Linked DNA regions of Callithrix jacchus. The protein of the gene in region 3 binds, or shares a complex with, the protein of the main gene of each other region. Links are inferred from orthologs where the notes say so. Each region holds a gene or a part of one and is shown on either strand. Other genes may lie near its edges.

Region 1 (5,103 bases), on a different chromosome or scaffold from region 3:
TCTGGGCAACAGAACAAGACCCTATCTCAAAAAAATAAATAAATAAAAAGACTTGTTCAGGAAATTCCTAGCTGTTGAAAAGTCTTGATCAACTGGCATTAAGTATTTTTGTCTCTAATAAAAAAGTTTCACTAATAATGACTTCATTAACTTTTGACATTTAAATAAAAAGGAGACATGTCTTGTTTTTAAGTGTTTCTTAAAATACATCTCTCTTATTTAGGAACTGATGAATCCCCAGAACCACTGCCAATCCCCACATTTTTGTTGGGTTATGATTATGATTATCTGGTGCTTTCTCCATTTGCTCTTCCTTATTGGGAGAGACTTATGCTGGAACCCTATGGATCTCAAAGAGATATAGCCTATGTTGTACTGTGTCCAGAGAATGAAGCCTTGTTAAATGGAGCCAAAAGCTTTTTTAGAGATCTTACTGCAATATATGAGGTAGGTGTTTAAAAAGAGATGACATTTTAAAACTACCTTATGATTTGTATTGATATATATATGTATATATATAGCATATATATATATATATATATATATATATGCTATATATATACAGCATACTGGTAAATTTAGTTGATTGGGACACAGTGATGATGTCAAATTAGATGTTTATTTCTCATACTAGCCAGTTACATTCTTTGCTGAGTTTGACCCAGTTTGTTAGATGTGTATGTTGTGGGTCAGAGTGGCTATACCCCTATTGGAGGAAGAAACATTGAGGGCATATAGATATATATCCCATTTAATGTGACCTTTTCTAAAACAAAGGGTAACAATGGTAAATAGCCAGGAAAAAAATTACATTTATAAAAATTCTAGTCTTTATTCTCTAGAATTTCAGGTAGTGACACTAGACCTCACTTTTCTCATATGCAAAATAAATTTGGCCAGGCACAGTGGCTCACACTTATAATCCCAGCACTTTGGGAGGCCGAGATGGGCAGATCTCCTGAGGTCAGGAGTTTGAGACCAGCCTGACCAATATGGAGAAACCCCGTCTCTACTAAAAATACATAATTAGCCAGGCATGGTGGTGCATGTCCATAATCCCAGCTACTTGGGAGGCTGAGTCAGGAGAATCGCTTGAACCTCGGAGGCAGAAGTTGCGGTGAGCCAAGGCCACGCCATTGCACTTCAGCCTGGGCAACAAGAGTGAAACTCCGTTAAATATAAATAAATAAATAAAAATTTTTTAAAATCTATGCTAGTTGTCTCTAAGGTCCATTTCAGGTCTGAAATTCTTGCTTATTCTTTTAAGTTATAATTCTCACGTATCCATCACCAGGCATAATAATTGTAAATTGTTAAGTGTTATGGTACATAAAATCTTACTTTATTATTCCCTCCTTTTCCCACAAAGGCTTTGAAATTTAGTCTTTAAATTTTGATGCATTTTACACTCCGAATGTTAGTATATGCTAGTTTAGCTTCCTTATAAAATTTTCCACATAATTACAAGGTCTCTGTAGTATGTTTTTAATAAATAAACATTTCCCAAAGGGTGTTATTCGGAACATTAGTCTGGTTAAATTCTCTCAGAGGCTGGGCGCAGTGGCTCATGCCTGTAATCCCAGCATTTTGGGAGACCGTGGCAGGTGGATCATCTGAGGTCAGAACTAGTCTGACCAATATGGTGAATCCCCATCTGTACTAAAAAATATAAAAATTAGTGGAGTGTGGTAGCGGGTGCCTGTAATCCCAGCTACTTGGGAGCCTGAAGCAGGAGAATCACTTGAACCCAGGAAGCAGAGGTTGCAGTGAGCCAAGATCATGCCATTGCACTCCAGCCTAGGTGACAGAGCAAGACTTTGCCTAAAAAAAAAAAAAAAATTCTCTCAGAAAAAAAGTTCAAAGGCTTGGGGAGACATTGTATATTATATTACCTTTTAGAGAGTCATAATTCATATTAGATTATTAAAGGTTTTGAAATTCTTACAGTAAAAAAGTCTTCTAAATTTGCTTAATCCAATGTTACAAATTTATCAGACCATTAGCTTCCTATAACAAAAATCAGTGGCTCATAGAACTAGAGGGAGAGAGTATATAAATATATTTATATACCAATTTTTATTTTGCTTTGATTTAGGGATATGTGTATTTATAATACATGAATTAGAGTCAATGTATACCTAAAATGACTGCATTTTTGTGCTCCTTTATTTCTGCATTCTGCAAGCTTTTATTATTCAAACCAAATGGTTCTAGTGTTATCTAGTTGTTTTTTCATTAGAGATATTTTAATTTTGAAAAAAATTTAATGAATTTCTAATGTAAAAATGAAAAAGACCTATAGTACTATTTCTCCTTTGATATGTTTATTTTTTTGCCCTACTTCTAGAAACACCCTTGATATTTTTATCACAACTGTGAATGGCAAATGGTTAAGCTTATTTTAAATAGCTTTCATGCTTGGTTTTATAATATGTATCTAAAATACTATAAAAAATTTACTAATTCTGCTTTCTGTATGTATATTTGTAGTCCTGTCGATTAGGTCAACATAGACCTATTTCTCGACTGTTAACAGATGGGATCATGAGAGTTGGATCTACTGCATCAAAGAAACTATCAGAAAAGTTGGTAGCAGAATGGTTTTCTCAGGCAGCTGATGGTAACAATGAAGCATTTTCTAAACTCAAGCTTTATGCACAAGTCTGCAGATACGATCTAGGTATTGAGTTTGTATTTACTGTATAAGGCTAGCATTGGCAATGTGTGGCCTGGTTCACCAGCTGTTTTTGTAGATAAAATTTTATTGGAACACAACCATCCTCATTTATTTATGTATTTTCTCTGGCTGCTTTTGCGCTACAACATTGGAGCTTAGTAGTTGTGATAGAGTCTATGTGGCTGTAAAGACAAAAATACTATTATATGACCCTTTGCAGAAAAAGTTTGCTGATCCCTAATGAGGGATCTGATCAGGTATGAAGAAATTGTGGGTTATAAACAAATATTCTGTTGCTTCTGTAGGGTCTGATGGTTTATTAACATTAAGATTGTTGATTTGTTACAGTTTAAAGATAAAATAATGTATAGTTAATCTGTACAAAACCAAGAAATAGTTCTTTGTTACGCTAAGAAAATGACAGCTATTTAAGACTTGCTGATTATACTTTTTTCTTTCATTCTACCCATGTGCAACTGTATTGCTTATAAATACTCTTGAAATAAATATCAGTGGACTTCCTTTAGACTTAATCCAAGGAGATACAGAACCAAACTATTGAATCTCATTAGACATTCCAATAATTTGAACCCCATAATAACATTATACCATTTTATATTTTTATTAGCTCCCAATGTAGTCAATATTTATTTGATTTGTGATTTAGAAACCCTTTGAATAGTTTGATGAATATTTCTAGATAGCTTTTCTAGCAAATTCTAAGAATTTGTTAAACTTTCATTTCTTTAATTTTGAGTGAAAATTCCATTTTACATATGTTTCTTCAGTTTCTAAGGGAAAATAGAAAGTAAGTATAGATTATACCATTAACAAGCAATTCAGATGCTATAATTACCAAGAAAATATCAACTTGATTATTTTATTTACAAAGTACAATAAAAAAAAAAAAGTCAGTGAAATAAAGAATTAAATTTCCTACCTGTTTTTATCCTTTAGGTCCTTATCTTGCTTCTCTGCCATTGGACAGCTCTCTACTTTCCCAGCCAAATTTAGTTGCCCCTACAAGTCAGTCTTTGATTACTCCACCTCAGATGGCAAATACTGGAAATGCTAATACTCCATCTGCCACCTTAGCATCTGCAGCGAGCACTACTATGACAATGACTTCAGGTGTTGCCATATCTACTTCAGTTGCCACAGCTAATTCAACTTTGACTACAGCTTCAACTTCATCTTCATCATCCTCCAACTTGAATAGTGGAGTATCATCAAATAAACTACCTTCATTTCCACCCTTTGGCAGTATGAACAGTAATGCTGCAGGATCCATGTCTACACAAGCAAATACAGTTCAGAGTGGTCAGCTAGGAGGGCAACAGCCATCAGCTCTACAGACAGCTGGGATTTCTGGAGAGTCATCTTCACTTCCCATTCAGCCACATCCTGATGTGTCTGAAAGGTACCTTTAAAAATACTGATTCTTGCAGAAATATAAAAAAACTATGATGCTTCTTTTTTTCTTTTTTGAGACAAAGTCTCATTCTTTCACCCAGGTTAGAGTACAGTGGTGGGATCTCCACTCATTGCAACCTCTGACTCCCAGGTTCGAGCAATTCTCCTGCCTCAGCCTCCCAAGTAGCTGGAATTGCAGTCATGCGCCACCACGCCTGGCTAATTTTTGTATTTTTAGTAGAGACGGGGTTTTATTTTGTTGCCCAGGCTGGTCTGGAATCCTTGGACTCAGCGATCTGCTTTCCTCAGCCTCCCAAAGTGTTGGGATTACAGGCATGAGCCACCACACCTGGCCTAGTGTTGAATATTTTATGTATAAAATTGTAATGTAGATTCTTCATAAAGTCTTCATCATAGAATTCTAGAATCAGAGGGTGGGAATTAAGAACTTGTAAACTGTATAGTCCAATACCATATGACATTTGAGTCTTCTGTGGCATAACTGTCAAGTAGATTTGCCTGTGCGATTCACTCTAGTGATTGAGAAGTCACTATTGAGCCAGTCTGTTCAATAGTGAGTCCTATTAAAGTTTGAATCTCAGCTCTGCTCTACCGTTTACCTGCTTTGTGACTTAGAGGAAGCTCTAATTTTCTGAGCTTGTTTTCTTATCTGTAAACTGAGAGTAATATGATACAGTATACATTAAGTACTTTACAGTGATTCCAATTTATTTATAGTGACAAGAATGATTATGACAGCTCTCCTTTTATGACAAAGGTTTTTTGTGAGCTTTCCTTTTGATTTATAGGCTAGGTTGGCTAGAGCTTAATTATATCTGTCAGCTACCCAGGATGTAGTTGTGCTCAAAAGTACAATCATATAGGGGTCAAAACAAATTATTACCCAGATTGATTTACCCATCTTGAACATCTGAATAGATCTGAAGTTTAAAAAAAATTAAATCACCCATCAGAGAATGAAATTTGTTCATTTAAGTTATGAAGTATGAAAT
Region 2 (5,202 bases), on a different chromosome or scaffold from region 3:
CACATGCATTTACTCATTTATGTGTATATATATGTTTACCATTCAGGTTGTTCAGCAGACACTTTCCTGTTAAAGCTTACTAAGTTGCAAGAAGTGTATTATAACCAGAAAGCAATTCCCTTTTAATGGTAAAAAAAAACAAAAAACTACACCTTGAACTCACACCTCTGCTTTGTTTTAAGCAGGTAGTCAGAAAGCAGTAGTGAACTTTTTTTTTTAAGACAAAAATTTGAGAGGAAATGTTTCAAATTTGTCTTGAAGTCACTTTTCTGTATGCAGTAACAGTTGACTCATGAAGCATATACATCTTGTGTTGCCTGCAGGACCGTTTGTATCTTTTCTGGCTTTTTATCCATTTAATAATCCAAAGAAAAGACTTTTAAAAAAGTATATTTCAACAAATGTTGTATGTATGTAGATTTACAGACTCTGTGTTGGAAGCCTTAGCCATCCGTAAGTTTAATTTTATCCATAGTGTTGCTGAGAGATGGTCATCTACACTCCGTTTGGAAGTTTCCATTGATCCCATGTGACTCTGTCAAGGACAGCTGATTCGATTGTTAGCCAGAAGTTATAAAGTTCTTCCTTATATTGTGATATAATATACTTCCTTGTAGCTTCAATCTGTCCCTGGATTAAGCTAGAACCATTCTATACCCTCTTGGGGACAACAGCCTTTTAGATATTTACATTCAAGAGAGATTGCAAATTAGCCCATTTTGGGCATTTTATTTAGTCTGCCCAAGATTTTAGTTTTTTTTTTTAATGCTTGCCAATATTTAAAGATCAGAAAGTTTTATTTAATAAATGCAGATTTCCAGCAACTCTTTAAAATCTGGAAGATTTAGCAACCATAGATCTTAATTCTTCCAATCAACAACTGGCTGATGCTGAGAGCAGCTGCCACTACTAGCTGCTTTCCACCTGGTGGAAGAGACTTTCTACCACTTGGCTTGGTTCATTGCTAACCAGTAGCTGCCACTATAACACCTCTCTTATGTCTCTTTTTCTCAACTCCCTTCAGCCATTGTGCCATGGTGCCCAGACTTCTCATGAATTCAGGTTCCCTCCTTTGGATATTTGGCAGTTGTACCTTATGCAGTTCAGCCAAGAACTAAACACAGGCCTTCAGATGTGGTCAGAGTACAGTGGGTCAGAGGTTCTTTCTTTTCTTTATGTGGACATACACCTCTATTAATTAAACTTAACGTTTATATTACTCTTGGGGTGGGGTGGGGAGAGGATCACATTGTTGACTTGCTGGGTGCATTAATGTCAACTGAAATCCTTCAGTTCTTACTTTCATCAATGCTGTTGGGTTCTCCCTATCTTGTTTATTTTTTAAAACACCAAATGCAGAACTTTCCTTTTCTACTGCTTCTGTTTCATCTTGTTGACTTGTAGCCTATCCAGAGTATGATTCTTTATTGTCGTCTAATACATTCTGATATAAACGCTGCCTGTCTAAATTCTAGTTATTGACCAAATGCTATTTGAGACTTGGTTGTCACATTATTTTACAGCTGAAGAAGCTAGCTGAACTTTAGAGAGGTTAAGTACCTTGTTAAAGGCTACCAGGCTGGACCTTAAATCCTGGTCCTTTTAACTACTGGTGCTGTCATGAAAGGGAATTAGCCAGGGCAGGTGTGAATAGAGCATTCTAGCATAAGCAGCCAGCAATTAGAGCAATTGTGTACTTTTAGTGTGTAGATAGCAAACCTTTACTGCCTTGGAAGTTACTCTCTTCGAAGCATGGTACTAAGCCCTCTATTCAGTGTGGTGTTCAGATCAGTAGCATTGGTTGCATTTGGGAGATTTTTAGAAATGCAGAGCTCATGCCCCACTGCAGACCTAAGGAGTCAGTCTGCATTTTAAGAAGTGATTCATACACACATTAAAGTTTGAGAAGCATTGCTCTAGCATCCTATTTTCCAAACTAGTCATTTGCATATCACTTCTACAACTTTGGCTTTATCTGCATACTTCCTATATTTCAATGTATTTTGTCTCTTTTAAATGCTTTTATATATTTTCAACTTGAAATAATTTTACTTACAAAATACCTGAAAAAATAATAAAGAGAATTCTTGTATTTTCTTCATCCAGATATTCCAGATGTTTAACAATACAATCAGCAAAAATCAGAACATTAATATGAATTTATTACCTAATCTACAGAGGTCAGATTTTGCCAGTTGTCCAGCTGGTGTGCTGTATGCAGTACAGGATCCAGTCTAGGCCTGCATGTTGCATTTATTGTCATGTTTTCTTAGTCTCCTTTAATCTCAGTGGTCTTTTCTTTGCCATGACTATGACAGAAATGATTTTGTATCTGTCATATATCTACAGTCACATGAAGTCTATTTGTTCCACAACTGGTGATATTAATTTTGATAACTTGGTTGAGGGTGGTACCTTCTAGGTTTCTCCATATCAAGTTACTATTTTTCCTTGTATATTTAAAATGTATCTTATGGGGAAATCCTTTGAGACTATGTAAATATATTACATATATTTTTGCCCATTAATTTTAGCATCATTTGAAGATACTTGCTTTTGAGGAAACAGTTTTCATTGTGATTTTCTAAATCTTTCATTCTCCATTTATTAGTTTGGAATTCGATTGTAGGGAAGTACTTTTTCTTGTTTTTTATTTATTCTTTTATTAAAGAAATTTGCATCCATTTAGTATGGACTTTTGGATTCTTATTTTTATTCTGTGAATTTTAATTATGTATTTTCAAGCTCTGAGTATTCCAGATTTGGCCATTAGGAGTCCCTTCAAGTTGGCTCCTGAATACTTTTGATCCTCCCAAGAATTTTTAGCACTTTTTCTTCTAGCATTACGTAATGTTCCAGGCTCATCTTGTCCTTTCCCTGTCTTATCCCTGAATCAGACTTTTCTCCAAGGAAACCTGCTCCTTGGAAACGGGGCACTGTGTGTTCATTAGTACCACAGTGTCATTGCTTCTAGGCCCTCTCAGTACACAAAGCTCAAGAACTCTATATATGTATGTATGTGTATACATGCACACACATATATATCTGTCTATGTCTCTATATATTAAAAGCCCTAAGTACATGTTGTTTTCAATACCAGCTCGGTAACACAGGGTTCGTTCTAGCCTTTTTCCTTTACTTGTCTATAAGTCCTTTTCTGGTAGCCAGAAATTTGGCTCTCCATATCCACAGTATATTTACTTGTCCAATCCTAGAGTATACCTAATTTCAGAATTGGTATACCCCTGTGGACAAGAGTACAACGTATATGCATAGTCCTCTTTCAAACTGAAATTGTGTTTTTATCACTATTGATGGAAAAACCAGTAACTATCAATTAAACACATAATTACTAAAATATGTTCATGTTCTTCACCTTGGAAAGCACTAGAAGGGAATAGCATGGTTTGTCCCTAAATTTTCACTCTGCTTACCAGTTACTGTGTTCTGTAGTCTTGAGCAAGTTAATTTAATCTTTCTGAACTTAAACCTTCTCACTTGAAAATTTTGCTGAACACTGACTTTTGATGACTATGCAGGGGAAAAACCCTATGCTACTAGAGTGTACTAAGTTAATGTTATAGAAATGGTAGGCTACAAGATCATTTTTAAGAGAATAACTGAATTAGACCTTGGCATTATTTACTACTTAAATTATGTTGTTCATTCACTTATAAACTTAAACCCAGGTACCCTCAGTGTTTACACATGTTAGAGCTGCTCCAGTATGAACACTTCCGAAAGGAGCTGGTGAATGCCCAGTGTGCGAAATTTATTGATGAACAGCAGATTCTACACTGGCAGCACTATTCCCGGAAGCGGATGCGCCTTCAGCAAGCCTTGGCAGAGCAGCAACAGCAAAATAACACATCGGGGAAATGAAAAACTGGATACAGACGAGGCTCTGAAGATATATATATATATATATATATATAAAAAATGTATTTCTTATGTACAGTGAAGACAAAAAAAATGAAAACTCTTCCTATCTAGCTTTATTATGGTAGCATCTAGAACTGTTAGTATGCTTTTTAATCAAACTAACTTTTTATTGTTAATAGACTATCACTGTTAAACCTGAAGTGTTCTACTTTGATTTCCATATGGATTTTAAGGTGTTTCTTTTTTAAGCATTTAGTATAATCAGCTGATTAATAATGGAAAAGTTAGGTGCTTTAGACCAAATAAAGAAGGCATTGGGGCATGGGGTAGGGGTGGGTCACTAAGTATACTGAATTCTAAGGCTAGCTCTTCCTGACATATAGTAGGGCAAGGCCATCTCCTGGAACCTGTTTCTCAGATCAACTACTCTACCACTCTTACCTATGTAGTGAGAGTAGCGGAGTCAGTGACTTGTTTAAATCACCAGGAAGGAACTACATAAAGGTTCTTAAATTCTGCAGGAAAGGAAATACCTGTATACATGTTTTGCAGGGTGGCTTTAAGAATCACTGTGACCTCGCTTGACCTAATCACGGCACAACAACTAGTGGTTAATTACTAATTGGTCTCTTGACTTTAGAACAAAGATGAGGAGCCTCAAATACTTGTGCTCACTTGGGAAAGCGAACACTGAATTGGGGGGGTACCACAAACCAGGTGCTATGTTAAGTGCTTCCTTGAATTCTCAGAACCTTGTTTATAAAAGACAAAACTGTGGTTTGGATAGGGTGACTAACTTAACTTGCCTATGGTTACACAGCTAGTAAGTGGTAGAATCAGTGTGACTGACTCCCAGGTTGGAGTTCTTCCCACCACTAGGTGATATAGTCTCTCTAGCCCCTCTCTGCCACCTGCCTCATCCCAAGTAAAGCATGTTGAGTTAGCTGTAAAACGAACTGCCTCTAGTGCTCAGGAGTCTGTTTTTTAATAAATGAAACAAAACTGCCTTAATTAAACAGGCTGGATTAGAGGTACTGTGCTTCCCTTCAGTGGTGAGGTTAGGTTCTACAATCCAAAATCAAAGAAGGGGTTTCAGAAATACCAGTTGCTTTGCAGATGCACAGAATTTAAAAAATCCTGATCTTTTTAGAGATTTGGAAGGTGTCCTCTGTACCTTTTTAGGGGCTTTTAGGCATTTCTGTCACTTTCAATAATACATTCCTTTGAGCTCTTACTGCTACTTCTAAAGATATATTACAGGCAAACTACAGGTTCATGGGCATTTTAATAGCAGTTTAAATGCCAGTTTTTTTTTTTTTT
Region 3 (5,582 bases):
TACTGATAATTGGATTTTGGAGAGAAGCATTTAGGATAACTAGTATGAGTGCCTACTGTATATAAGCGCGATCATGTTTTCAAAGAGATACTCCTTCAGGAGGTTAAAAAATGTATATTCAGGAGACATTTAAGTGATGGAAAAACAGTTTGTGATTAGGGAGTTACAATGAATTGAGTGTTTTCAACTGCAGGTTCTGAAGTAAATTGGAATATGGAGTGATGTGAACCAAAATAGGGAGAATCTTCTTAAGCATTTATTCTAATCATAATTAATTATTTGTATAACTTTTAACAGTTGTTCTACCCTCTGAAAACTGAGTGCAGAAGCTATGTCTCATTTACTATGTGTTTATATACAATACTTGTCATAGTTATTTTCCATAAATTTTTGTTGACTAAATGGATCTTAAGAGCTTTTGAAGAATGGAACAGATAACCACTGTGTTGAATATTTTTGTGTCTTGTCTGTTCCTCACAACAATGTTGTAATATGAGAATGTATCCAATTTAAAAATGATAAATGCTACTTGAGTTAATAGAACTAGGATTAGGATCTAGACTTGTATAGCAGCTGAGCGCTTATTGCTCCATTACAATTAGCAAAACCTGGACAAAGCCATTTAGTCATGAGTGACTTTATAACTAGGTAAATATGAAGGAGTAGTGGAAAACAAGACAGAGGAAAAGAGAAAGATTAGAAGTATTAGTAGAATTTGAAGATCAAAGGAAAGTAAGAATCTGTGGTTAGACTGGTTGACTTAGAGACTGTCAATACAAATTAAACAGAGAAAACAGTTGCCTTTGAGTTCTGTAATTGAACAATGGCAGAGAAACCCAGTGCAAATGCTTATTAGAAATAGGAGGTTTGAGAGGTCAAGACTAGGTGAGAGAAATTGGTGGGGAGGATAGGCGTTTTTAATTTGGAGATGATAAGGAATTGCTGTTCTCAATCTTTAGAAGTACTTAAGGAGTACTTTTAGCGCACAAGAGTTTAAAACTTGAGTCTTGAACAAATATGTTTCTGATTACTTAAGGTGCTTTTCTGAGCAGCCTTTTCCCCACTATTTCTTTATGCTTGTAACTACTCCAGTTTCAGAAAAGGAATTATATACTTTGTACATGAATAATAAATTTTCATTTGACGCAATGCCATAGGTAGATATTTGCAAGTCAGATTTCCATCACTGCTCTTTTCCATCACTGTTCCCCAAAAGTCTTTACTTTTGGCTTATAATAAATATTGGCTAGTGTTCTCTTACCATTTTACTATCAAAAGAAAAGAAATATTATTTTTATTTCAACTGTTTCAACTGGGTTGATACCAAACTTAGTTTCTTTGCAGAATTAAAATGTTTAATTAACGTTATTAGTAACTGGCTTATTTTATCAGCAATTATTCCTTTCTGTTTTATTCCCTTACTCAGAGATTATGATTAAAGAAATTTATTGTTGTTGCTGTTATCAATAAAGTCCTTAAAATTGATAAGTCCTTCCTAACCTTGACATGTTTTCTTTGGCCTAAGCTTGCAGATCAGTTTTGTAATGCCATTGGAGTATTGCAGCAGTGTGGTCCTCCTGCGTCTTTTAGTAATATTCAGACAGCAATTAACAAAGACCAGCCAGCTAATCCTACAGAAGGTAAACTGGTTTTCTTAGCTTCTCTTTGACTCTCACATTTATTGTAATCCTTTCAAATTAGATTTATTGAGCAATTCGGCTTATTTTGTTTCCAAAAATTATGCTTAATTCCCAATTTGAGCTAAATGTGTAATAGGATTTGTGTATATTTTAATCATTAGAATCCTAGTGCAGAAAAAGCTATGTGAAGTTTCCAGTTTCACTAACTTAAAATTTGTTCTGAAAACTTGAGGTTTTCTAATGACCTGATCTAGCATTATCTTTCTCTAGAGTATGCCCAGCTTTTTGCAGCACTGATTGCACGAACAGCAAAAGACATTGATGTTTTGATAGATTCCCTACCCAGTGAAGAGTCTACAGCTGCTTTACAGGTAAGTCTTTATTCCTTTGAGAATTTTACCAGTAATAGAGAATTTTGAATTAAAGGAGCAAGGTTTAATACCTTTTGTCTGTGTCCATTTGTGCTGCTGTAACAGAATACCTGAGACAATAATTTATAAAGAACAGAAATTTATTTTCTCACAGTTTCTGTAGGCTGGGAGGTCCAAGATCAAGACATTTATTACTCATTGTGCATGAGTAAGACATTTTTATTTAACACAGTGCTATGTTTAGGGCCATGTTTAAGGCCATGTTGAGGGCCTTCTTTCTATTTCCTCACATGGCAGAAGGCAGAAGGACAAAAGAGCAAGAATTCCCTCTTCAACCTCAAGCCATTTTATGAGGGCACTAATTCTATGAGAGCTTTGCCTTCATGACTTAATATCCTCTTAAAGGCCCTTTCCTTCTTAATACCTTCACATTGGGGATTAGATTTTAACGTATGAATTTTGGAGGGGACACATAACGTATGAATTTTGGAGGGGACACATTCAAATCATAGCACCTTTTGTTATAATATTCAATTTTCCATTATAAGGAAACCTCTTATTTCCTCAATTGTGTCTCTTTTCCTAGTGAAGAATGAGAGGAGGGTGGCATTCTAGATGTGGAGTAGAACAATGGTGCCCAAATGTAGTGTGGAAGGGAGTCACTTACAGATATCTAGAGATTTCTAATTGAAAATTCATTCTTTTTAATAATTCAAATGAGGAAAATTCTTAGAAGTTATCTGATTTTTAGAATTTCTTTGCTGAAAAACACAATAATTGCAAAGTCATCCAGATTTAAAAATAAGTACCTCTGTGACAGCTTCCCTCGTTAACTCTAAAGATTTCAAAATTTCTGTCTTATAAAGGCTGCTAGCTTATATAAGCTAGAAGAAGAAAACCATGAAGCTGCTACATGTCTGGAAGATGTTGTTTATCGAGGAGACATGCTTCTGGAAAAGATACAAAGTGCGCTTGCTGATATTGCACAGTCACAGCTGAAGACAAGAAGTGGTACCCATAGCCAGTCTATTCCAGACTCGTAGCACCAGTGGATACCATGTGGCTGAGAAAAGAACTGTTTCAGTGCCATTAAGAATTCTGCATCAGACTTAGATAACAAGCCTTACCAACAGTTACAGAAGCATTCAACACTATGACACATGTTCCCTTTTTAGCTATTTTTAATAGTCTTCTGTTTTCACTCGTGATAAATAAGCTTATAAAATAATGATTGAACCAGCTTTAAACCGTCATACCATCATTTTTTAACTGAAATTATTAAGGCAGATGATGCATTAATAAACATAAGTAAACATATATAAAATTCTATTGTGACATGATTCATGTCTTTATTTTGTTGTCTTGGCCAGTACTTTTACAAATCAAAACATTTCTCAAGCCAGAGAAGAAGGTAGTAAGAACAGACATAAGGGACATTTTAGTTTAGGCTAGCATCCTGCCTCTTAGAGGTGGCATTGTGTAAATTTGAGCTTTGAGCAAGAAAGTTTTGGAAATTGTATTGCTTTTAAATAGAGTTAGTGTGGCTGGATAAGTAAGTCACATTTATGCAAATGTTTCTTCTTTCAGAACTTCATACCTGTTCTAGTTCATCTACACATTCTACCAAGAAATCCTCTGTCAGAATTTTCCTGCTATTGTGAAAGAATTCACCTTGTATTTTTCATCCTTCTCCTTAATTTGCTTGCATCACAGTGAAGTATGTTTTTGAATCGTCAGTTCTTTCTCAGTCTCTTTATTTATCTAAAGTTTCTTTCTTTTGCCCTTTATTAATCTCTCAACTTTTATTGCTGTATTCTAGTCAGACCCGAACATACTTTCAATACATCAGTTACTGGGCTCTATTTCACCTCAAGTTATTATTGCTAACATTTGTATCAGCATTTTCAACTATGGTTACTCATCCAACCCTTGGATCTCTTTTAGTCTAGTGATTTTCTCCACTGGAAAGGTGGAATTAAAATGTATTCACATTTTAACTGGCCATTTCCTTGGGCTATATTTTTCAGAATATCCTGAGCTACATTTGCTGTAATCTTGCTATTCAGAGTTTAAGTTTCCAGAGAAACCAAAAATACAACACTGCCTGTTATTTTTGTCATAATCAAGCTTTTCCACAGTTCTTGAAAAGTACTGTGTTTCAAATTTCAGGAACACCAGTGTTAGCTATAAAATTCGTAACAGTTTATTGGCTTGTCACAGAAAGTTTTTGAACTTTTAACTGTATTTTCATTGATGTTTATTAAAAACATTTTGCTATCACAGTTATTGTCCATAAATCTGTACTCTTCATTGTAGTTTTTGGAGGAGAGAAGATTTGATCAGAAAACTGATTTTCAAAGTACTTAAGTGTTATAAAGGAGTCAAGAAGGTACAAATAGAAAATGTCAGGCCGGGCATGGTGGCTCATGCCTATAATCCCAGGACTTTGGGAGGCTGAGGCGCGTGAATCAGGAGGTCAAGAGATCTAGACCATCCTGGTCAACAAGGTGAAACCCTGTCTCTACTAAAAATACAAAAAATTAGCTGGGCATGGTGGCGTGCGCCTATAGTCCCAGCTACTCAGGAGGCTGAGGCAGGAGAATTGCCTGAACCCAGGAGGCAGAGGTTGTGGTGAGCCGAGATCGAGCCATTGCACTCCAGCCTGGGTAATGAGCGAAACTCCGTCTCAAAAAATTTCACAACCTCTCAGAATAAAACATAATAAAATAGTAACCCTAAATTTTATTTTATTAATACATTGATAATTAAATGTTAATGATCTAAGCTGATTTAAATCTCAAAACTGGATAAGAAGCTGTGGCTCTTATAAGGAAAGACTTTTATTCATTAGACCTATAATTTGGTTTCTTCATATGTAAATTAAGAAGAGTTTAATAACCTGCTTCTGTATTTCAGTTCTAGGGGCACCAGTTCAGTTAACTAGCCCTAAAGATGTCTGTAAGTGAAACCATTTTGATTACTACTTGCTCTGCTGTCAATTATCGTAACCAATCTCTGTTTCTGGATGCTAAATCCTTTCACTTGTGCCTTAACCATCCTAACTCCCATAATCTCCATTGAATTTAAGGAACCAGTTTCTTTTTTTTGAGATGGAGTTTTGCTCTTGTTCAGGCTGGAGTGCAGTGGTGTGATCTTGGCTCACTGCAAACCCCGCCTCCTGGGTTCAAGCGATTCTCCTGCCTCAGCCTCCCGAGTAGCTGGGATTACAGGTATGCGCCACCACACCCCACTAATTTTGTATTTTAAGTAGAGATGGTGTTCTCCACATTGGTCAGGCTGATCTCGAAAGCTCGACCTCAGGTGATCTGCCTGCCTCAGCCTCCCAAACTGCTGAGATTACAAGCATGAGCCACCATGCCCAGGAGTCAATTTCAGTGGGAGTATCTTTTACTATCATTCTTAACCTATGATAATAGCCAGTAGAGCCTTTCAGGAATGATAGTATCTCCCCTCACCAATGACTTTTTAAAAAGCCTAATGAAGAGAGTGTCCTCTGGATCTTTCCAGAGAAGATAGGATGTGAGTAAGTTATGTATAATAATTTCACCCC
Region 4 (5,103 bases), on a different chromosome or scaffold from region 3:
CTAAGTCTTTGCTGGTTGCTTGAATGCATTAATGAACAAGTAACAGAATGAAAAACTAAAACTGTGAATACTTTATTGTGTGAAAAAGGAAACTGAAAATACAGTTACTTAATATCTAGAAAATAACATCATAATATTATATATGGAATGTAACCAAAGCTGAATATATTAGAAAATCAATATCCTGAATAACTGAGAGATAATAGAAATATTCTATTTAAGAATATTAAAAAGGAAACATGAAATAAACTTAAAGAAACAGAAAGAAGGACTTTAAATAGATAACACTGATGCTAACCTATTAAAAGGAAAAAAGTTTGTTTTTTTTTTTGAGACAAAGTTTCACTCTGTCCCCAGGCTGGAGTGCAGTGGCGCAATCTCATCTCACTGCAACCTCCACCTCCCAGGTTTTATCAATTCTCCTGCCTCAGCCTCCTGAGTAGCTGGGACTACAAGCTTCTGCTACCACACCCGGCTAATTTTTTTATTTTTAGTAGAGAAGAGTAAATAAACTCAGGGGTACTTTTGGGTTATCTTCACTACTTTAAATTTGAAAGCCAAAGCAAGTTAAGAATATTACCCAAGATCTATGCCTTATTTCATGGGTCAATACTTTCCATCTTTCAGGAGACTCTCCTTTTGAAATTGTTCCATTTCATACAGAAAGAAGAAAGGCTTTCTAATCCTCTTTATGAAGCCATGAAAACACCTAGAGAAAAATCTAGCAAAGGGAACACTAAAAACAGTTTCACTTTTTAATATTGATGTCAACATTGTAAATGAATTATTACCAAATGCAGTCTAATGTTACATTGAAATTATAAAACATGACAGTGGATTTTATTATAGAAATACAGTCAGTACTAAGAAATCTATTAAACATTGAAGGCATTAAAAAACTAATACAATTCAACGTTTATCCTTGACTAAAGCTCTTACTAAAACAGAAATAGGATGCTTCCTTAACATGAAAAACATGTCAAAGCATCAGCAGTGGTAAAACATTGGGATAATTAGGGTGCCTATTTAAGATTTTCCCAATATACTAGTCAATACAGTTGATACAAATGAGATATAGAAAGAATGACAAAAGAATAACAAAATTATCAATATGTGGAAATAAAATTTATGAGAAAACTCAGTTAATTGAAAAGTTATTCAAAATAATAAAAGTTTAATCAGGTGACCAGTTACAAAATGCAAAAATAAAAGCTTTTTAAAAATGAATGGGCTGGTCGTGGTGGCTCACGCCTATAATCCCAGCACTTTGGGAGGCCGAGGCGGGTGAATCACGAGGTCAAGAGATCGAGACCATCCTGGTCAACAAGGTGAAACCCCATCTCCACTAAAAATACAAAAATTAGCTGGGCATGGTGGTACACACCTGTAGTCCCAGGTACTTAGGAGGCTGAGGCAGGAGAATTGCTTTAACCCAGGAGGCACGGAGGTTGCGGTGAGCTGAGATCGTGCCATTGCATTCCAGTCTGGGTAACAACAGCGAAACTCCGTCTCAAAAAAAAAAAAAAAAAAAAAAGACTGATAGGAAAGTATAATTTACATTAGCAACGGAAAATATAAAATACAAAGGGAAAAATATGAGGAAATATACAGAAGCTGTAGGAAGAAAACTTTAAAACATTGTGGCACGTAGAGATTTCAATAGACTTTGAATTCTCGGTAAGATGTCATTTCTCCCTATGTTGATCTTTAAATGTAATTCAGTCACAAAATTTGAATGGATATTCTTTGTTAGGACTTGACATAATGCTTCTAAAGTTTAGGTCTCAGAATAACAATTGCAATAGGATAGTCAGAAAATTTCAGAAGAATAGTAGCAAGGGAGTATTTTTCATACCAGCAATTACTTACTTAAGTTTCTGTGTTTTAAAATAGCACAGCATATGAACAAGAAAAACAAAAATAGGAAATTATATATAATGATAGAACTATAAATCAGGATATACCTTAGCACATTTGGATAATCATTTGACAAAATGTTTAGCTGGATCCTTACTTTATACTCTGTACCAAAATTCCAGATGGATCATATAAATTGAAGGAAAAAAGCCCCTAAGGGTATTAGAAAACATGGGTGAATAGTTTTTTATCATTTTGGAATCAGGGAAGGACTTTTTATGCCTGACAAACATGAAAGTAAAAGACAGGTAGATTTAAGTAAGTAATTCAGCTTTCTCTATTATAAATAATTAAATACTGAGAGATATTTAAACTTGGGAGAAATTTTACAGTTATTTGACAAGCAAATGACTTATCCATACTATACAAATTTTATATCAAAAGACTCTCTTAATCATTAAAAAAATAAGTAATCACATTAGAAAAATGGTCCTATTAGAATTAACATTGTATAAAAGAAGAACTGCATTTGAACAGTGAAGATATGGAAAAGATGTTTAACCTCAAAAGTTAACTACAGGGGAAAGAAACAGTGATATACTACTTTGCCTTTAAGTTACAAAGTATTTAAAATTGGCAGTAACCAATAGGATTAAATATTTTAGGATTCACTCATAAACTGTTAATAGAAATGGAAATCAGTATAATGTTTTTGGAGGGTAAACTGACAATGTGTGTCAATAAGTTACCAGCAACACTGACCCATTAATTCGACTTCTGGGAAGTTATTTCAAATATATTATTAATCAAATGGGCAAGGAAAATTACAATGATATTTATTAAAGTATATTTGTAACAGAGAAAAAATGATAACCTATATTTCCATCAGTAAAGATTGGCTAAGTGATCCATCCATAAAGTTATGTAAAAGAATGCTGAATAACAAGTTCCTTGACATAAGACTTCCAATAAGTATTGAATGACAAGGTTCAGCATAGTTTTTTCTTTGAGTCATGTCAATTTCATATCTCCAGTTAAAAATAGTACACTCGACTAAGCAAGAGGAGGAGGCTATCAGTGTAACACATTCTGAGGCAGTTTTTAATATAATTAGATTTGTGAAATAAGGAAATTAAATGCCATAGTTACTTATGAACAGCTGAAAAACTATATACTTCAAACGTAAGCCACCATCAATTGGTGCCAAATAATTCTACCATTATCTTATATCACTAAGAAAGAATAAACATGCTGCCAAGCGGGGCATGATGGCTCACGCTTGTAATCCCTGCACTTTGGGAGGCTGAGGCAGGCGGATCCCCTGAGGTTGGGAGTTTGAGACTAGCCTGACCAACATAGAGAAACCCCCATCTCTACTAAAAAATACAAAAATAGGGGTCCAAAGGGGCTCCTGCCGGAGGTCGTGACGCTTGCGAAGGCGAGGTCATGAGTTCAAGGCTAACCGGAGCAACCTCATAAGCTCAAATTGATTGGCCAAAAAAAAAAAAAATAGCTGGGCTTGGTGGTGCACACCTGTAATCTCCGCTACTCGGGAGGCCGAGGCAGGAGAATCACTTAAACCCAGGAGACGGAGGTTGCAGTGAGTGGTGATCGTGCCATTACACTCCTGCCTGGACAAAAAGAGCGAAACTCTGTTCAAAAACAAACAAAAAAACATGCTGCCAATTACAACACAAAGGCATCACAGATTGTAAGACATATTTTGGTATCAGAGTCTTAGAATCAATGAAATATAAGTTTGTAACAGAAAGACTAAGGAGGAAGAAGGAAAAGATTAGAGCAAGTTTTTTCAGTACATATTTACATTTATTAGTGAGATATTATTCACCTAATTGACTTTAAGGTTACTTTTTGCACTTTGTGCTTCTCAGAATATGAACAACCTGTTCAATCAGAGTGTTTTCTCTGACTTTGCTTGTTGATTTTCTGTAACATGTCTTTTCTAGTTTGCAATGGATTTTGGATAAACAAGATCTGTTGAAGGAGCGCCAAAAGGATTTAAAGTTTCTCTCGGAAGAAGAATATTGGAAGTTACAAATATTTTTTACAAATGGTAAACTTTTTAAGAAATTGGTTAAAATGTTATAGTTGATTACCTCTGAATTAAAATGTTTTTGTGTGGTAATTTGTGAGCTATTTTAGTCCATACCTAACATTTTTATTTATACATGTATTTTTTTTTTTTACAACTTTTTAGTGATCTAAATAAAGATTTTTTGGTGTGAATTTTACATGTCACAGGCACTCAAGACAATTTGAAAGTATTACCTAATCTCCCTCAGGCTTTATAATAATTATTAGATGCAGTTCAAGGTTGGCTAAAGCAAAGTACTTTGACTTTGAGGATAAATGAGTCTTTGGATTGACATCCTATAGTGGACATTTCTATCTTAGAACTTTGTTTTGAAGGGAAGAAGATTTAGGGATAGGTCTTTGCTTTGTAGTAAGTCTGTCATAATTTTTTTTAACCTTCATTTCACTGTTTTGTAAACATTTCTCTGTTTTGAGGATTTATTATGGATTTTTTTTTTTCTTGGTGAACTGTATAAAGTGGTAGTATTAGCTGGGTGTGGTGGCTCACACCTGTAATCTTAGCACTTCGGGATTCATAGATGGACAGACCACTTGAGGCCAGGGGATACAAGACCAGCCCGGCCAACATAGTAAAACCCCTCTCTACTAAAGATACAAAAATTAGCTGGGCATGGTGAGGCACAAGAGTCACTTGAACCCGGGAGGTAGAGGTTGCAGTGAGCCAAGATCGTACCACTGCAGTCCAGCCTGGGCAACAGAATATCTGTCTCAAAACAACAAAAAAAGTGGTAGTATTAACAAGTTTCATAGGCATCTAATATTTTCTTTTTATATTTATTATAAAGATAATATGAAAGGCATTAAAAATATTTAGAAGATAGAGGGAAAATACTTACTCAACTTCCTTAATGCATGAATAATATTTTGCTGTGGGGCAATTTCTATTTTGTTGTTGTCGTTTATGCACTCCTATTTATTTCTTAACACATTTACAAATCCTTGTATTAGACCACTGTGGCTCATATAGAGCATGCACATGTTTTTTCCTTTGTTAAAAATTAATATAATTATGATTTAACCACATGGAAGTTACTGTTCAATGTTAATATTATAATGATCCCAGAAGATACATTTAAAATATCATTATTTTCCCTTTAGTTATCCAGGCATTAGGTGAACATCTTAAATTAA
Region 5 (4,428 bases), on a different chromosome or scaffold from region 3:
CAGTGGGTTCCAGGTGGTTCCAGTGGTTCTTGTCCACCTGGGTTCCAGTGATTCTTGTGCCTTAGCTATCTCAGTAGCTGGGATTACAGGCTCGTGCCACCACACCTGGCTAATTTTTGTATTTTTTGTGGAGACGGGATTTCGGCCTATTGGCCAGGCTAATCTCAAACTCCTAACCCCAAGTGATCGCCCGCCTCGGCCTCCCAAAGTGCTGGAATTGCAGGTGTGAGCCAATGTACTCGGCTCTCAGACCCAGTTCACTGTAGTAGCTAGATTATTTGCCAGTTTATTCTGCTCTCTAAAGATTCTCCTCGAGGGAAGTATGAAATTAGAGCAAGCTACCTCTCTTATTTGTAAATATTACACTGTCTTCCTCAAGCATTTGGCTTTTGTTTTTAAATTATTGCTCTAAACATAGCTTCTTTATCATTGTGAAACATGCTATGTAAACAGAGTAAGATAGTTTACAGAATAAAGCGAACACACTCCTGAACAACCCCTAAGTTAACAAAATAACAATAGCTTTTTATAAACTTTTAAAACTTCATAAAATAGTATTTCTGTGAGACCCAGTTCATTCTGAGCTTCAGTTTTCCTCAAGTTTTTCATAGGTTTGTGCTGTTTTTATATATATTTTATATTAGTCCTCATCTTTTATAGTTTGTAGGTGACTTTGTTTTGATGTGGTAGAACATTTGGGAAGTAGAAAAAGGCATTTAAAAAAGGAAAAAAACCCTGCCCTTTCTGAGGCAGTCACTTTAAATATTTAGCTTGTTTTCTTTTTTCCCTGTACATTATTTGCTTAATGTTACATCATAAGGCTGTTCCTATGTCATTAATAATGTTTTGTATGCATCATTTCTGTTACCTACCTAAAATACAAACTGGGGAATTCACTGTGATATCTTTGGATATCATCTCTTGTTTCTCATTTCTTGGAAGTACAGGAAAAACAGGTATGGGGAGTCACTGCTACATTTTGGACCAAGGAAGGGACAGACCTAAAAATGGTCCTCCCCAGCCCCATCCCAAAGCTATTCAAATCATGGTGCTGTCATTGGAGAGGGTGTAGTGTAGTTGTGGCCCACTCTGGCAGAGAAGTTAGATGAGGCATCAGAGGCCAGAGCTGGCAAGCAGGAACTTACCCACTAGGGTTCCAGGGAGACTTGCTGGGAAGCTGCCCTTTGGGATTGTGGTGAAACCTGCTAGGAAACCACCTTTAGGGACGCCACTGAAAGTTGCTGTGATGAATACCTCTTAATGTTCTGCACACCAACCAGGCATCACAGCAGTAAAGGAAAAAAACACCCGATCCAGGAAGTCAAGCTTATTTGCCTGTGGAGTCTCACCTGTGCCCTCTACTGACAAAACTTAATTGTGGCAGCTGGCAAAGGAGAAATGGTTTCAGGGGCCAGAGAAAAGGGTAGATTTGAAGCTAACTGGCATGCCTTTCTAGTTAACACCGTAACTTTGTTTTGACAATTTAAAAATCTGCCTTTGAGTCTTAAAAATCTTTCTTTGAGTCTTGAACTATACCTGTTTATGTGCTCTGTTTCTTTGCTTCAGAAATACAGACTTTTAATGTGAATTGGGCACTTTTTTGTAAGGTATTTTATATGCATATGTTGGAAATCAGCCTCTCTTTGATGAGAGCCATTTACAATAGCAATTCCTCTATTAAGAAATCATTCAAACCTAGTATAATAATACTAAATGAAGTACCTATTACCTGTTTATAATATGTAGAATAATCTACATAACCTAGTATACATAATTATGTATTATATATTCATATAATGGATACACAGATAAAGGAAACATTTGTAATTGTAAATGTCTTACAAAAGAAAAATCATGTCAACTGACTATTTGAATAATTTCTTACAGAGTAGTATGATTTTAAAAAAAGGTTCCCAATTGCTAAAATATGATACTTTATCTTGATGAATTTGATTTTTACTAATTTGGCCAAATGTGTATTTTTTTTTCTAGTCTTAAAATAATTGGCACAATAGCTTATGCCTGTAATCCCAACACTTTGGGAGGCTGAGGTAGGAGGATAGCTTGAGCGCAGGAGTTGGAGACCAGCCTGGGTAACATAGTGAGACCTCATCGCTACAAAAACTTTAAAAAGTAGCCAAACATGGTGGCACGTACCTATAGCCCAGCTACTCAGGAGGCTGAGGCAGGAGGACTTCTTGAGCCTAGGTTAGGGGTACAGTAAGCTGTGTTCATGCCATTTCACTCGAGCCTGGGTGATCCTGTCTCAAAAAAAGAAGAGAAAAAAGTAACATTAAAAAATATATGTACTTCAAATTGTATAAAGGGAAAAGTTAGTACTAGATTAATTACGAATAGAGCTGTTCTTATCTGTGCTTCCTTTTTTCTTCCAGATGTCCTTGCTCCTCAGTATCCATGGCAGTCAAATGACATGGCAATGAATATGTTACCACCAAATCATAGTAGTGACTTTTTGTTGGAACCTCCTGGGCATAATAAAGAAAATGAAGACGATGTAGAGATTATGTCAACGGACTCCTCAAGCAGTAGTAGTGAGTCTGATTAAAAAACTGTAAAAGACAATATACAGAATTGAATAGTGTCAAATTCTGTTTCTTTAACAGTAGCAGGGGAAGATAAACTACAGATGGCAAAGAATAGCCAGGTAAACACTGGCTTTGGTAGAATTGTGCAGCCATTAGAAGTCAAAATGAGCTTTCTTTTTGAGGCCAAAGATTATAGTTTTAGTGTTAAGCCCCTCGGAAGATATTTAGGGGAATAGTCAAAATTTACTGTTGAAAAGAAAAAGCAGTTGCTAAGTGCTATTTACCATGTTCTATTCCAGTTGTGCTGGATTTGTCACCTTCCTCTTCTTGCAGTTTCCCAGAAGTCACTTTTAACCACTTTTAATTTCTGGTGGTTAACCTCTATGTTTAAGTAATAAGCTTATACAACTATTTCTTGATGTATGAGTTTTAGACAATGTATCTTTTTTCTGATTTCAAAGGTAATACAACATATCAAACATTTAATGAATACAGTAAAGCACAAAGGAAATAGAGTTGAGGGAAATGATCCATGTATGTATCACTCATAGGCTTCCTGGAATTATTTAGAAAAGCATTTTTAAACTGGCAGTGGATAACTAAATAGGGATCATATTTTTGTGTGTCATTTAAAAATGACAAAAACTTATTTGACAGTAAAGGCTCTTGGCTTCTGTTGGAGGAATGGGAAATTGTCTCAATTTGTACAGTTTGTAATTATTGTAATTTTTATAAATAAATTTACTTTTATTTGTACTTTGTATGCTATGCTTTTTTTTAAGTTTAAATATGGTATCAGTATAGGTAGGAAATTATTTCTGTAAATCCAGCTGCATTTTATAATACTTGAGTGACTAATTAAATTGAAACCTAGTACAATGAATAGGTTTTTCAAAGGCCCACATTCCTATTAGATGAAATATTTTTTTTAATAATTGAAAAAATTTGCCACAGTCTTGTCTGATTTTAAGAATAGGTTGCATAAAAAGATTTAAATGCAAAGCAACCATTTCTTCCCTTCACCTTCCTCTTCTTGCAGTTTCCCAGAGGGAGTCACTTTTTTTTTTTTTTATTGTACTTTAGGTTCTGGGGTACATGTGCAGATTATGCAGGATTGTTGCATAGGTACATACATGGCAAGATGGTTTGCTGCCTTCATCCCCCTATCACCTATATCTGGTATTTCTCCCCTCGTTATCCCTCCCCACCCCACACTGTCCCTCCCCTATCCCTCCCAACTGACCGCAATGTGTGATGCTCCCCTCCCTGTGTCCACATATTCTAATTGTTCAACACCCACCTATAAGTGATAATGTGGTGTTTGGTTTTCTGTTCTTGTGTCAGTTTGCTGAGAATGATGGTTTCCAGTTTCATCCATGTCTGTATGAAGGACACGAACTCATTGTTTTTTATGGCTGTGGTATATATGTGCCACATTTTCTTTATCCAGTCTATTGTTGATGGACATTTGGGTTGGTTCTAGGTCTTTGCGAGTGTAAACAGTGCCACAGTGAACATATGTGTGCATGTGTCTTTGTAATAGAAAAATTTATAATTCTTTAGGTATATACCCAGTAATGGGATTGCTGGGTCAAATGGTATTTCTATTTCTAGGTCCTTGAGGAATCGCCACACTGTCTTCCACAATGGTTGCACTAATTTGCACTCCCACCAACAATGGAAAGTGTTCCTATTTCTCCACATCCTTTCCAGCATCTGTTGTCTCCAGATATTTTAATGATTGCCATTCTAACTGGCATGAGATGGTATCTCAATGTGCTTTTGATTTGCATTCATCTAATGACTGGTGATGATGAGCATTTTTTATATGTTTATTGGCCTCATAGACATCTTCTTTTGTAAAGTGTCTGTTCATATCCTT

Evidence for each region. Proteins that work in one complex are often made in the same cells at the same time.
Region 1: MED21 (region 3) and MED13 share a complex: the UniProt entries of both Homo sapiens proteins name them as parts of the mediator complex. The link is inferred for Callithrix jacchus from reciprocal best matches to the Homo sapiens genes MED21 and MED13.
Region 2: MED21 (region 3) and MED31 share a complex: the UniProt entries of both Homo sapiens proteins name them as parts of the mediator complex. The link is inferred for Callithrix jacchus from reciprocal best matches to the Homo sapiens genes MED21 and MED31.
Region 4: MED21 (region 3) and CCNC share a complex: the UniProt entries of both Homo sapiens proteins name them as parts of the mediator complex. The link is inferred for Callithrix jacchus from reciprocal best matches to the Homo sapiens genes MED21 and CCNC.
Region 5: MED21 (region 3) and MED4 share a complex: the UniProt entries of both Homo sapiens proteins name them as parts of the mediator complex. The link is inferred for Callithrix jacchus from reciprocal best matches to the Homo sapiens genes MED21 and MED4.

The regions. Positions count from the first base shown.
Region 1 is NC_133506.1:94,834,490-94,839,592, forward strand, and holds part of MED13 (mediator of RNA polymerase II transcription subunit 13), read left to right. Parts: intron 1-223; coding exon 224-447; intron 448-2,490; coding exon 2,491-2,680; intron 2,681-3,634; coding exon 3,635-4,097; intron 4,098-5,103. UniProt on the Homo sapiens protein: Component of the Mediator complex, a coactivator involved in the regulated transcription of nearly all RNA polymerase II-dependent genes.
Region 2 is NC_133506.1:108,206,257-108,211,458, reverse strand, and holds the end of MED31 (mediator of RNA polymerase II transcription subunit 31), read left to right. Parts: intron 1-3,689; coding exon 3,690-3,882; 3' UTR 3,883-4,076; downstream 4,077-5,202. UniProt on the Homo sapiens protein: Component of the Mediator complex, a coactivator involved in the regulated transcription of nearly all RNA polymerase II-dependent genes.
Region 3 is NC_133510.1:44,216,774-44,222,355, reverse strand, and holds the end of MED21 (mediator of RNA polymerase II transcription subunit 21), read left to right. Parts: intron 1-1,525; coding exon 1,526-1,640; intron 1,641-1,910; coding exon 1,911-2,011; intron 2,012-2,877; coding exon 2,878-3,054; 3' UTR 3,055-4,293; downstream 4,294-5,582. UniProt on the Homo sapiens protein: Component of the Mediator complex, a coactivator involved in the regulated transcription of nearly all RNA polymerase II-dependent genes.
Region 4 is NC_133505.1:105,603,858-105,608,960, reverse strand, and holds part of CCNC (cyclin-C), read left to right. Parts: intron 1-3,824; coding exon 3,825-3,931; intron 3,932-5,070; coding exon 5,071-5,103. UniProt on the Homo sapiens protein: Component of the Mediator complex, a coactivator involved in regulated gene transcription of nearly all RNA polymerase II-dependent genes.
Region 5 is NC_133502.1:67,860,640-67,865,067, forward strand, and holds the end of MED4 (mediator of RNA polymerase II transcription subunit 4), read left to right. Parts: intron 1-2,393; coding exon 2,394-2,566; 3' UTR 2,567-3,302; downstream 3,303-4,428. UniProt on the Homo sapiens protein: Component of the Mediator complex, a coactivator involved in the regulated transcription of nearly all RNA polymerase II-dependent genes.